2 linked regions of the Arabidopsis thaliana genome follow. The protein of the gene in region 1 interacts with the protein of each later gene in a pairwise test. Each region holds a gene or a part of one and is shown in the gene's direction. Other genes may lie near its edges.

The links. Proteins that work in one complex are often made in the same cells at the same time.
Region 2: the proteins of AT3G18800 (region 1) and AT3G53810 interact in a protein complementation assay, tested with the Arabidopsis thaliana proteins (one large-scale study listed by BioGRID).

The regions. Positions count from the first base shown.
Region 1 is NC_003074.8:6,477,207-6,482,110, forward strand, and holds AT3G18800 (uncharacterized protein), read left to right. Parts: upstream 1-2,380; 5' UTR 2,381-2,539; coding exon 2,540-3,133; 3' UTR 3,134-3,257; downstream 3,258-4,904. Other genes in the region: AT3G18790 (pre-mRNA-splicing factor ISY1-like protein), read left to right, coding at 647-1,549; PERK6 (Protein kinase superfamily protein), read right to left, coding at 3,495-3,785, 3,872-4,033, 4,130-4,274, 4,421-4,497, 4,584-4,654, 4,752-4,904.
Region 2 is NC_003074.8:19,931,104-19,937,544, reverse strand, and holds AT3G53810 (Concanavalin A-like lectin protein kinase family protein), read left to right. Parts: upstream 1-2,152; 5' UTR 2,153-2,358; coding exon 2,359-4,392; 3' UTR 4,393-4,575; downstream 4,576-6,441. Other genes in the region: Fes1B, read right to left, coding at 4,826-5,312, 5,422-5,524, 5,605-5,826, 5,905-5,955, 6,049-6,191.

The DNA.
Region 1 (4,904 bases):
CTCCATCTTCACTTGGAACTGATATTCTGAATAGTTAAAGCGTTACATGTCTTCCATTCACAAATGAACTTAAACTAGCACAAAGTCAGATATTTTAAGATCGCACCATTTTATATAACCCCAATCGTCAATTCTACTGTTTCAAGTTTTACACCAAAACAATTACGAGGTGTATCTATTCGTTACTCTTTTCGCTTATTAATCCTTTTACATGATGCAAAATATAACAAATTAATTTCAAATTGTCCTGCACATTTGGTTTATACATCTTGATTCCAAAAAGTCAACTCGTTGAAGAATTAATCAATACTCGAAACGAGTCTTCCTTGGGCCCTAAAATATTGTCCTATCTAGTTGATGCTTATATAGCATATATGGGCTAATAAATTGGGCCTTAGCTTTGGAAAAGGACGTAGAACTTGAAACAATTTTTATTTTTCTTTTTCCGGCGAAACAATTATCTAATTACCAATTTAACCCCAATCCTTTCTCAGTTTCTCTCTTCCGCGTCTCTCCTTCTCGTTATCCTGCAAATTAGGGTTTAAGTAAGAAAAAAAAGCTAGAGAAGTATCTCGATCTCTTCTTCTGTTAGATTCTGCTTTCCTTTGAGATTTGCTAGTGTAATCGTAACCTCCGAAGACCCAAGATGGCTCGTAATGAAGAGAAAGCACAGTCGATGCTCAACAGATTCATCACCCAGAAAGAATCTGAGAAGAAGAAGCCAAAAGAGCGTCGACCTTACCTCGCATCAGAATGTAGAGATCTAGCTGAAGCAGACAAATGGAGACAGCAAATTTTGAGAGAGATCGGTAGCAAAGTAGCTGAGATTCAGAACGAAGGATTAGGAGAGCACAGACTTCGAGATCTAAACGATGAGATTAACAAGCTTCTCAGGGAGAGATATCATTGGGAGCGGCGAATCGTTGAGCTAGGTGGTCACAATTACTCGAAACATTCGGCGAAGATGACGGATCTAGAAGGTAACATAATCGATGTACCTAACCCTAGTGGTCGTGGTCCTGGTTATCGTTACTTCGGAGCTGCTAAGAAACTTCCTGGTGTTAGAGAGCTTTTTGAGAAGCCTCCTGAGCTGAGGAAGCGTAAAACTAGGTATGATATATATAAAAGGATTGATGCTAGCTATTATGGGTATAGAGATGATGAAGATGGTATTTTGGAGAAGTTGGAGAGGAAATCTGAAGGAGGGATGAGGAAAAGATCGGTGGAGGAGTGGCGGAGATTAGATGAGGTTAGGAAGGAAGCTAGGAAAGGTGCTAGTGAGGTTGTGAGTGTTGGAGCTGCAGCTGCTGCGGCGAGGGAAGTGTTGTTTGAGGAGGAGGAGGATGTTGTTGAGGAGGAGAGGATGGAGAGGGAGAAAGAGGAGGAGAAAGAGAGGGAATTTGTGGTTCATGTTCCGTTGCCTGATGAGAAGGAGATTGAGAAGATGGTGTTGGAGAAGAAGAAGATGGATCTGCTTAGTAAGTATGCTAGTGAAGATTTGGTTGAGCAGCAGACTGAGGCTAAATCCATGCTCAATATTCATAGATAGAAAGGTGATCATCTCTTCTTGTAAGGCTTTTTAATCATATCATAGTATAATTTTATTGTCTGTAGTTTCTTTTGCAGTTTTTGATCAGAAAATTGACTGAACTGCTGTGTGTTTTAAGAAATTTCGATTAGAGGAATTCTAAAAATTTGTTGATGTTTCTTATATTATTACATCCTAGATTATGATCTTAGAGAATTTGCTAGATCTTGATTTATATTTCCTTAGTAGTCCTGGTCTGTTTGAGAGTATGATAAGGCTTCTGTCGAGTAATGTCATAAAGCGCGATCAATCTATAACAACAACGTACATTCTTGCTTCATTAATCAAGAGTTTCACTGACCTGAGTAATTGACCTAGTACCCTTGTATGTGGAGCTTAGATTTGCAGAAACTGTTATTTCAATGGGACATACTTTAGTTAGTGCCTTAGTGGCATGCATTAGGATGCGAAGGAATTCGTATTATATCTTCTCTTGAATTGAATCTGAGAGGCTGATACATCATCTCTATGCTTCTCAGATGCTCTGTTTTACCAACAAACTCAGCCGCGATGGTCTCTTGCCTAAAGAAGAAACGATGTTGGGCGTTTGAAATATGATTTCATGGAAACAAATGTGAAAGACTCAAGGAGAAGATACAATGTCACTTGGAACTGAACTAGTGTATTCTATTATGTAGCTCGACTTTTGTATCTTTATACTTCTGAATGTAATGCTCATTGCCTGAGGTTTATACATTGTTCCTTTGGCTCTAACTAGATTGGTGCTATGCAGAGACATAAGTTGAGACCAACCACAAGCATTTTTCTGGTTTTGATTTTACTCCCAGTAAAATATTTATTGAGTACGGACAAAACATCAAAAATCAGAACAAGACCGTTGAGATGGATAATACTTGTCTAGAGATACGAACCACACCCACATGTTCCTACACACAATCCCCAAACCATCTCTCTAACCAATAACACTTTTTCTCTCTTCTCAGTCCTTCAATGGCGGACTACGACGACGAAATTGACCAGAATAACCAACCTTTCATCCCCAAAGAAACTGCTCTACAAGCACTAAACTCAATAATCCAGCTCCACTTCGAGAAAACCTTAGAGAAGAAACGAGCCATTGACCACCAGAAGAAGAAGCTCCACAAGCTATTTCAGCTCTTCTTCATCTTCCTCGCCGTAATCTTCTTCTCCCTCTCTCAACCCTCAGGTCGTCTTCACTGCCGCCATTGCTGGGCACCCATCTGCCTCCTATCCTTCTCTCACCTCTTCTTCTACGTCTCCGTCGCTCAAACTCTCCGTTGCATCAACGGCTTCAAGTACCAGCGTCGCTGCCATAAGCTCACTCTCGGTCTCGCCACTCACAAGCTCCGTTTCATCAAGTCAAGAATCGCTGCCGGAGATTTCCTCGGTGGAGGCGACGGTGATGAGGCCTCTGCTGCTGCTTGGGATCTGGAAGTTCCGTATCAAGAACCACCTGATAGCTACTTTGGCAAGTTTAAGAGAAATTGGGCTCTCTATTTTGGGTTCTTGATCCTTCTTTACACTTTCATGATCTCTTTCTCTGTCGTTATCCTCTGTTTCTGAGATCTCTAGAGTGGCATTTTCGTAAATTTTGCAAAACCCATCTGTTTCTTATTATTCATTAGTCCTCAGCTTTAGAATGATCAAGAAGATTGAAATAAAACAAAGTTAGAATCTTTGACATTTGATTCAATCTGGTTACTGAAGCCCTAGTCAATTACTTGATTGAGAGATGGGATTAAGACAGACAATTAGCATTAATAAATCAATTAATCACAATCAAAAGTTTTGAATTTTTTTTCACAGACACAAACACAAATCCAACGGTGACAAAAAGAATAAAAGAGTTGAAAAAAAAAATTCATAGGGGAAACAAAACACAAAAACACAGCAAGGAAGATTGTTTTGAAACTAACAAGCTAAATCAATGGTCTCGGCTAGGAGTGGTTTTGTTGTTGTTAGCTCCTCCTCTACGAATCTCCTCGCTGCTCGAGGAAGACGGGTCAAGCCCGTATTCGCTCGTGTTCCCGTACTCGCTGCTTGCACCGTACTCATGACTATCCAATGCCACTTTCCTGAACTTCTTCATATCCGCACTGTAAGTGCTTGAGTCATAGTCCGAGCTTGAACCCCTCCCGAGGAATGAGCTTTGTCCCGCTTTCCCTCCTTCGCTTAGATCGTCTAGCGTTGCATCTCCCTCCAGAGCCCGAACAATCTGTTTTAACATTGGACCATAGTGATCATTCTCTTGGTGTAAAGTATATGTTTAAAAGAGTGGTCATGTTCAAAAGTAAAACTTGCCTGGCTCATCTTAGGCCTGCGTCTAGCTGAGTGCCTGACGGCTGCAGCGGCACAAGCAACCATTTGTGCCATCTCATGAGGCTCGTATTGGTTTTCGAGACGTGGATCAACTAGTTCACTGTAATCTCCATCCTGAGCTGCGTTTAAGCATATGGGTCTTGCCTGTGTAAAAAAAGTAACCAAGTTTGCATTAGATCACAAGATTCTAACAGAGGAACCATTAATGTGATGAATATATTTAACCATATGATTACGGACCCAATCGACCAAACTGTCTTCCATTTCACCAGTGAGATCAACAGGTCTGCGTCCGGTAACTAGCTCAAGAAGCATCACTCCAAAGGAGAAAACATCTGATCGGTCTGTCAGTTTCCCGCTTGACGCATACTCTGGAGCCAAGTACCTGTCGTTTGATTCACAATTTGAGATTCTTTAGAGAAACAGATTTTCGGATGAGATTATAAAACAAGAATGTTTTTGATATAGAAGTAAGAGCTAATGAAATTTGCAGGAACATTTTTCATCAGCTGGTTTCGCAGTCTTTAGTACCCGAAAGTTCCCATGATACGAGTGGAGACATGCGTAACATTGTCTTGAGATAGCTTCGCTAACCCGAAGTCTGCAACCTGTAGATTTGAGCCAGTCCAGTTAGAGAAAAAATAATACCAACGAATCTGAAAACATTATGAGTTTAAAAATTATAAGAACGTACCTTAGCCTCAAAGGATTCATCAAGAAGAATGTTTGAAGCTTTAATGTCTCTATGAATGATTCTCGGATGACCTAAGTCAACAAAGTCAAGAAAACAAATTTTGATCACAACCTAATCAAACCACTCAAAAAGATTGAATTAATAATTTAGATTTTTGTTTTGACTCACAGTCTTCATGTAAGTAAGCAAGTCCTTTAGCTGATCCCAAAGCAATCTTGAGTCTTGTAGGCCAGTCAAGAACCTTGCCACTTTTACCATGGAGATGGAACTCAAGTGTGTCATTAGGTAAGAACTCATAAACCAACATCCTCTGTCCTCCTG
Region 2 (6,441 bases), about 13 Mb from region 1:
GCACTCGCTTAGTTAACTTGTGAAATGGTTAACGAGGGAAAAGTATTATAATCGTTGCTTAGGGAAAACTATTTAGAACAATTCCGCATTAGTCTTTTGGACTTATCCAACAAATAATTGATATTGACAAATTAACATTATAATCTCCATTAGCTTATTTTAACCCTACGGTTGGCTTCTAAGAACAACTCTAATTTGAACATTTCTTTGAGTGACTTTTCAGTGTCGGCGTTTCACATGGATGTCTTTATCTGCAACCTCAAAGAAAAAGTTTCGATTATAATTGTTAGAAGTTTTTATTATACTCTGAACTTTTTTTGTAACTTTTAGATATAAAAAAAACATATATATGGGGCTTATCTTATACATTACTAACTAAATGCATCTGGGCCTGGGCCTGATTCTGGGCTTAGCCATAACTGGATTATTTTCCTTTTTTTTTTTTTTTCTGAAATCAATGATATATCCATCAACCAAAAGAAAAACATTCAGAAATTTCTTTCAAAATCTCTTAAGCTAGTTTTCTTGTGGTCCAGAAAAAAAATTGGTTTCTTTTTACTGAAATTTAAACCTTGAGAAGTTTTGAATCAACAAAATATGGATTTTGACCAGTTGCCATACTATAGGCTTTTCTTTTCTGTATGCTTTCCGAATTGTTCATAGTATTAGTCTATAATACTTCTTATTGGAAAATATGTCGAGATTTTGAACTAAAAATTGACCGATCAAGATCGTTACCAAAGATATTACTTTTACAGTACTTGTATTTTATTAACTTAGCCAACTTCAATATCTATATAAGAATATGATCTTGTCATTTTATTCTGAGAATCTAATACCAAAAAGAAGTTATATGGCGTTCTTTTATGTTTCTAAACCCTATCATATCAATTTAACACATCCGAATCCAACTATAACCAGTCCTCCTAAATGTTAGAGTGTCGGGATAGAATAAAATTGAAGTGCAAGAAAATTCAAAGAAGATCGATCATGAAGCTGACTGAGACGAAAAATCAAAGGTCAAAAATTGAGAAGCTTCCTAAAGAGACAAGTGGACAAGTTTTGACCAGTTGTCCATTTGACACATGAGGACCCATCACTATCATATCACTCCTTAAAGTCGTTGCTCTCTCCCTCTTATCACTACCTTTCTTTCTCACAAATCCAGGATTCATTCATTCACGTTTTCCTACACCTCAAACAAGTTTTCAACGTCACTATAGACTATAGTGTATTTATGGAACATTTCATTTCCTAAAAATGATACAATCTATTATCAAAAGAGAAAAAATCTAACAATTTTTGGATAAGTCCACTTATTCATAAGTACTGTGACATGAAATCCTATTATTTATCTCAGCATTTAGTTTGTTTCTGCATCACGCCAAAGGAGAAAATGTCAAAAGAATCTTCCGTTTATTGCATCACAAAATTTATAAAAATTCATATGCAGAGGAATATTTTATATGTCGACCACTGAATACTTTCTGATGAAGGAACAATATTAGTTACATAACCACTAATATAACACATAGTAAATCTTAGCCTCTCATTTGTTTGTTGTCGTCAATCTCAGCCTTTCAAGCCACACTATCTAAAATGATTTTTGCTTTTGTACTTCCTGTGAAACGTTTGGATAAGTACACATCTATTCTGATATCTTTTTAGTGTTCACACAATATTAAGTTTTGGAAATGTTGCAAGAATAATACTTCTGTCACCATCCAGAACGTTTTAGTCAATTAGAGAAATGATAGTTCTCTTACAAGTTAAATTTAGTTATATGAAGTTTAACCAAAAAAGTTTTGTTGACCAAAAAAGAAAGCTTTACCATGGTTCAAAAGTTCTGGAAATAAAACCAAACAAAGCCGAAGAGAAACACGTTTCTAGAACTCCAGTCTCAGAATCACAAACTTGAATTTGTGTGTCTTAACCATATGACTCATAAGATTGAATTTACTTCATTTAATTTAACTAAACAAAAATGATCAACAACATCTCACTCATTGACCATTGACCACTAGAAGTCACATGCAGACAAACTGGATTAATGCATCAGTCAAAATCAAAGTGTGGTTTTTTTTTGTATATACACTTCCTCCTTATAAAACCAATTAATCATAGAATGAAATTAACTTCTATTTAATTCAAGCTTATATAATCTTGATTAATACTTCACCAACCACTGACATATTATTCAAATCTCACAAAGCGTGGCCTCAAAGAAACACTACCACGACTTTTTTTTCTTATCCTTCTCTTCACCTCTTTTAATAACTTCAATTTCTATCTTCAATCTTTTCCTCTTTCGTTTAACAAAACAGAGTAAAACTAAACCGGATTAAACCGGAAGCAGCCATGTTCGTCAAGCTCAAGCTCATCTTCTTCTTCTTCCTACTCTGTCAAATTATGATTTCTTCCTCTCAAAATCTCAACTTCACCTACAATGGTTTCCATCCTCCATTAACAGATATCTCACTCCAAGGTCTCGCAACAGTAACACCCAATGGTCTCTTGAAGCTTACCAACACATCGGTACAAAAAACCGGTCACGCCTTCTGTACTGAACGAATCCGGTTCAAAGATTCCCAAAACGGCAACGTATCATCCTTCTCCACAACCTTCGTCTTCGCGATACATTCTCAGATCCCAACACTAAGCGGCCATGGAATCGCCTTCGTTGTAGCTCCAACGCTAGGTCTTCCTTTTGCACTTCCTAGTCAATACATCGGTCTCTTCAACATCTCTAACAATGGTAACGACACGAATCACATCTTTGCCGTCGAATTCGATACAATCCAGAGTAGCGAGTTTGGAGATCCAAACGATAATCACGTCGGAATCGATCTCAACGGTTTACGATCGGCGAATTACTCGACGGCGGGATATAGGGATGATCACGATAAGTTTCAGAATCTGAGTTTGATTAGTCGCAAACGGATCCAAGTTTGGATCGATTACGATAATCGTAGTCATCGAATTGATGTCACCGTGGCTCCGTTTGATTCTGATAAACCTAGAAAACCTCTAGTTTCGTATGTGAGAGATCTTTCTTCGATTCTTCTAGAAGATATGTATGTAGGTTTCTCATCTGCGACTGGTTCAGTTCTCTCGGAGCATTTCTTAGTCGGATGGAGTTTCCGGTTAAACGGAGAAGCTCCGATGCTCTCGTTATCGAAACTCCCGAAGCTTCCTCGATTTGAGCCTAGAAGAATCTCTGAATTCTACAAAATCGGTATGCCTTTGATTTCACTATCTCTGATCTTCTCTATCATCTTCCTCGCTTTCTACATCGTGAGGAGGAAGAAGAAGTACGAGGAAGAGCTTGATGATTGGGAAACAGAGTTTGGGAAGAATCGATTCAGATTCAAGGAGCTCTATCACGCGACCAAAGGTTTTAAGGAGAAGGATCTTCTCGGCTCCGGTGGATTTGGGAGAGTTTACAGAGGCATTTTACCAACGACGAAGCTTGAAGTCGCTGTGAAGAGAGTCTCACATGATTCAAAACAAGGTATGAAAGAGTTTGTGGCGGAGATTGTGAGTATTGGTAGGATGAGTCACCGGAATTTAGTTCCTCTCTTGGGTTACTGTCGCCGGAGAGGAGAGCTTCTTTTGGTTTACGATTACATGCCTAATGGGAGCTTAGATAAGTATCTTTACAACAATCCGGAGACTACCTTAGATTGGAAACAAAGATCTACGATTATCAAAGGAGTTGCTTCAGGATTGTTCTATCTTCATGAGGAATGGGAACAAGTTGTGATTCACCGTGACGTGAAAGCTAGCAATGTTCTGTTAGATGCTGATTTCAATGGTAGACTCGGTGATTTTGGGTTGGCTCGGTTGTATGATCACGGCTCGGATCCTCAGACCACTCACGTTGTTGGAACATTGGGTTACTTAGCACCTGAACATTCCCGGACTGGACGTGCCACTACCACGACTGATGTCTATGCGTTTGGTGCGTTTCTTTTAGAAGTTGTTTCCGGTAGACGACCCATCGAGTTCCATAGTGCAAGCGATGATACGTTCTTGCTTGTGGAATGGGTTTTCAGTTTGTGGCTCAGAGGTAACATAATGGAAGCGAAAGATCCGAAGCTCGGTTCTTCAGGTTATGATCTTGAAGAGGTTGAAATGGTATTGAAACTCGGTCTGTTGTGTTCGCATTCAGACCCTCGGGCTAGACCAAGTATGAGGCAGGTCTTACAATATCTAAGAGGAGACATGGCACTGCCTGAATTAACGCCCTTGGATTTGTCGGCGGGGAGCGTGATGAATCTGGGAGGCCGGGACGGTTTTAGCGGTATTGCAATGACTGATTTTTCCACTGTGTTTAAAGGGTTTACCGGCGGATCTTCCATTGCTGACTCTCTACTCTCCGGTGGGAGGTGATGTTTGATGTTCCAACTCTAGCAATGTTTTATGTTTATAGTTTTTTTAAAAAAGGTTTACTAATACGGATCATGTACATACATTTTTGCCTTTGTATGGAATATATAATTGAGTTTTTTGTGATATCTTATAAGAATTTATAGAGTATGAAGATTATGATTGCGATAGTGGATTCAGTATCAAGAACAGTCTCGCAAGTATTATTCATGACTTAAACATAATAACGGTACACTATGATATTGGCAAAGTGAACGGAGAAGTTGTAGAACTTGAAGTCCATGAGTGTAGATTTGTATTACAGAAACAGAACACAGATAATCTCTTTAATAGCGTCTTGTTGTCGCTCAGATATACATAAACAAGAGCTAGAGAAATTCTAAAGCAAAGCTGATTTGTTGATAACTGCAAAATCTAATAATTTGGTTGAACGAGATCACGGTGCAGGACCAAGAAGAAGTGGAACCGGGGATTCACTCGTTTCATCATGTCGTCTTGCAGCCCAAGCCCTTAGAGGAGGTTCAAAGCGGTCCCTAACCACATCAGGAGCCAGCTCGTCGTCAGAAGGGAGGTAGACCAGACCTCTTTCTCTTAGAAGGGACGGTTCATCATAACACACGGTCCAAAGACTATCCACTAGCTGTCTTTCTTCTCTAGCTGCACAAAGATCTTCGTCCGACATCACAATTATTCGTCTTGTTCTCTCCTCAAGAAGCTGTCTTAGATTCACATCCCCTCTATCAAGGTTTCTCACAGATTCTTCACGGGCAAGCTCTAGGAGACCACGAAGAGCGAATTCCCGAACTTCAAAATCTTGGTTGGATGCTAGGTGGATCATTATGCGAGGGAATCCAAGATCTCTAACGATTTTACAGTCTGAGTTGCTTTCTTGGAGAAGATAGTGAAGCAAGTTCAACGCTTTTCTGAAACAGAAAGAGTATATTGGTTACTACACTGAAAACCTGAACCGAAACAGAACCAAAACCCGGATCAATTCATCTACCTAATACATATTCTTGAGACCCTATTTACCTTTGGAATCTAACGGTATCAGAGACCAAAGCGTCTCGCAGGCCAGCATAACCATTTGCCAGACGGAATGCTGTAATCCCGGGTTGGTTGTTACGGATAAGAGCTGCAATGTCGAAAGCAAGAAAAAAACTGTCAAACTTTTGGGTTCTCAAAGCAAACTTTGCTAGAAATAGTAACTCTTACAAGATATAGCCCCGAGTGCCTTGGTCCGGACTCTAATGTCAGGATCAGCAATAAAGTTAGTTAATAATGGTTCGAACCCATTTGCTTCCATAACAAGTTGCTGGCTTCTTGGATTGTTTTGGACAACCGTAGTCAAAACATCGGCAGACTTTGCTCGAATTTTCGCATTAGAGTTCTTGAGATAGCTAAGGAGAGGAACCAAACCTCCAATGGAGTGAAGATCTAAAACATTTAAAGATCCAAATAATATATTAAAAAAAAGAACCTCGAAAAACAAAGACTAGTTATGTAAGATCAAACCATTGGCCAAATCTATCGACTCGACGTGTTCCTGCAGCTCAGCCAACATTCCTGTCAAAACAAAAGTAGATATAAGTTTATGAAATCGATCAGTATGGTTCTTTTGCATAACCGAATAATCGCCATTGGAACGAAGTAAAGAACCTTCAAGATCATCAGGTGTAACTCCTTGAGCCTCCAAGACTTGTTCAGGCATCTTCATGATTTGAGATATTACTTTCATACGAGAGATTGAATCGATTGTATGTGCTTGCATAGCTTCCACAAACCATTGTCGATCTTCCTCACTAACCAGAACACAATCAAATACTCCAAAATCACAACTCAACAAACAGTAATATCATAACTCAAAAGACGAATAGTAATATCATAACTCAACAAACAGTTTTATCATAACTTCAAGATTCATCGTCCAAATGGTTTATTGTCTCTCAGAATTAAGAATATATTCCAATAAAATAAGAACCTATTATTAGCAACTAGCAAGAGACGAATAGGTTGGTCAAAGATAACAACAAGCTTGATACAAGAATGACT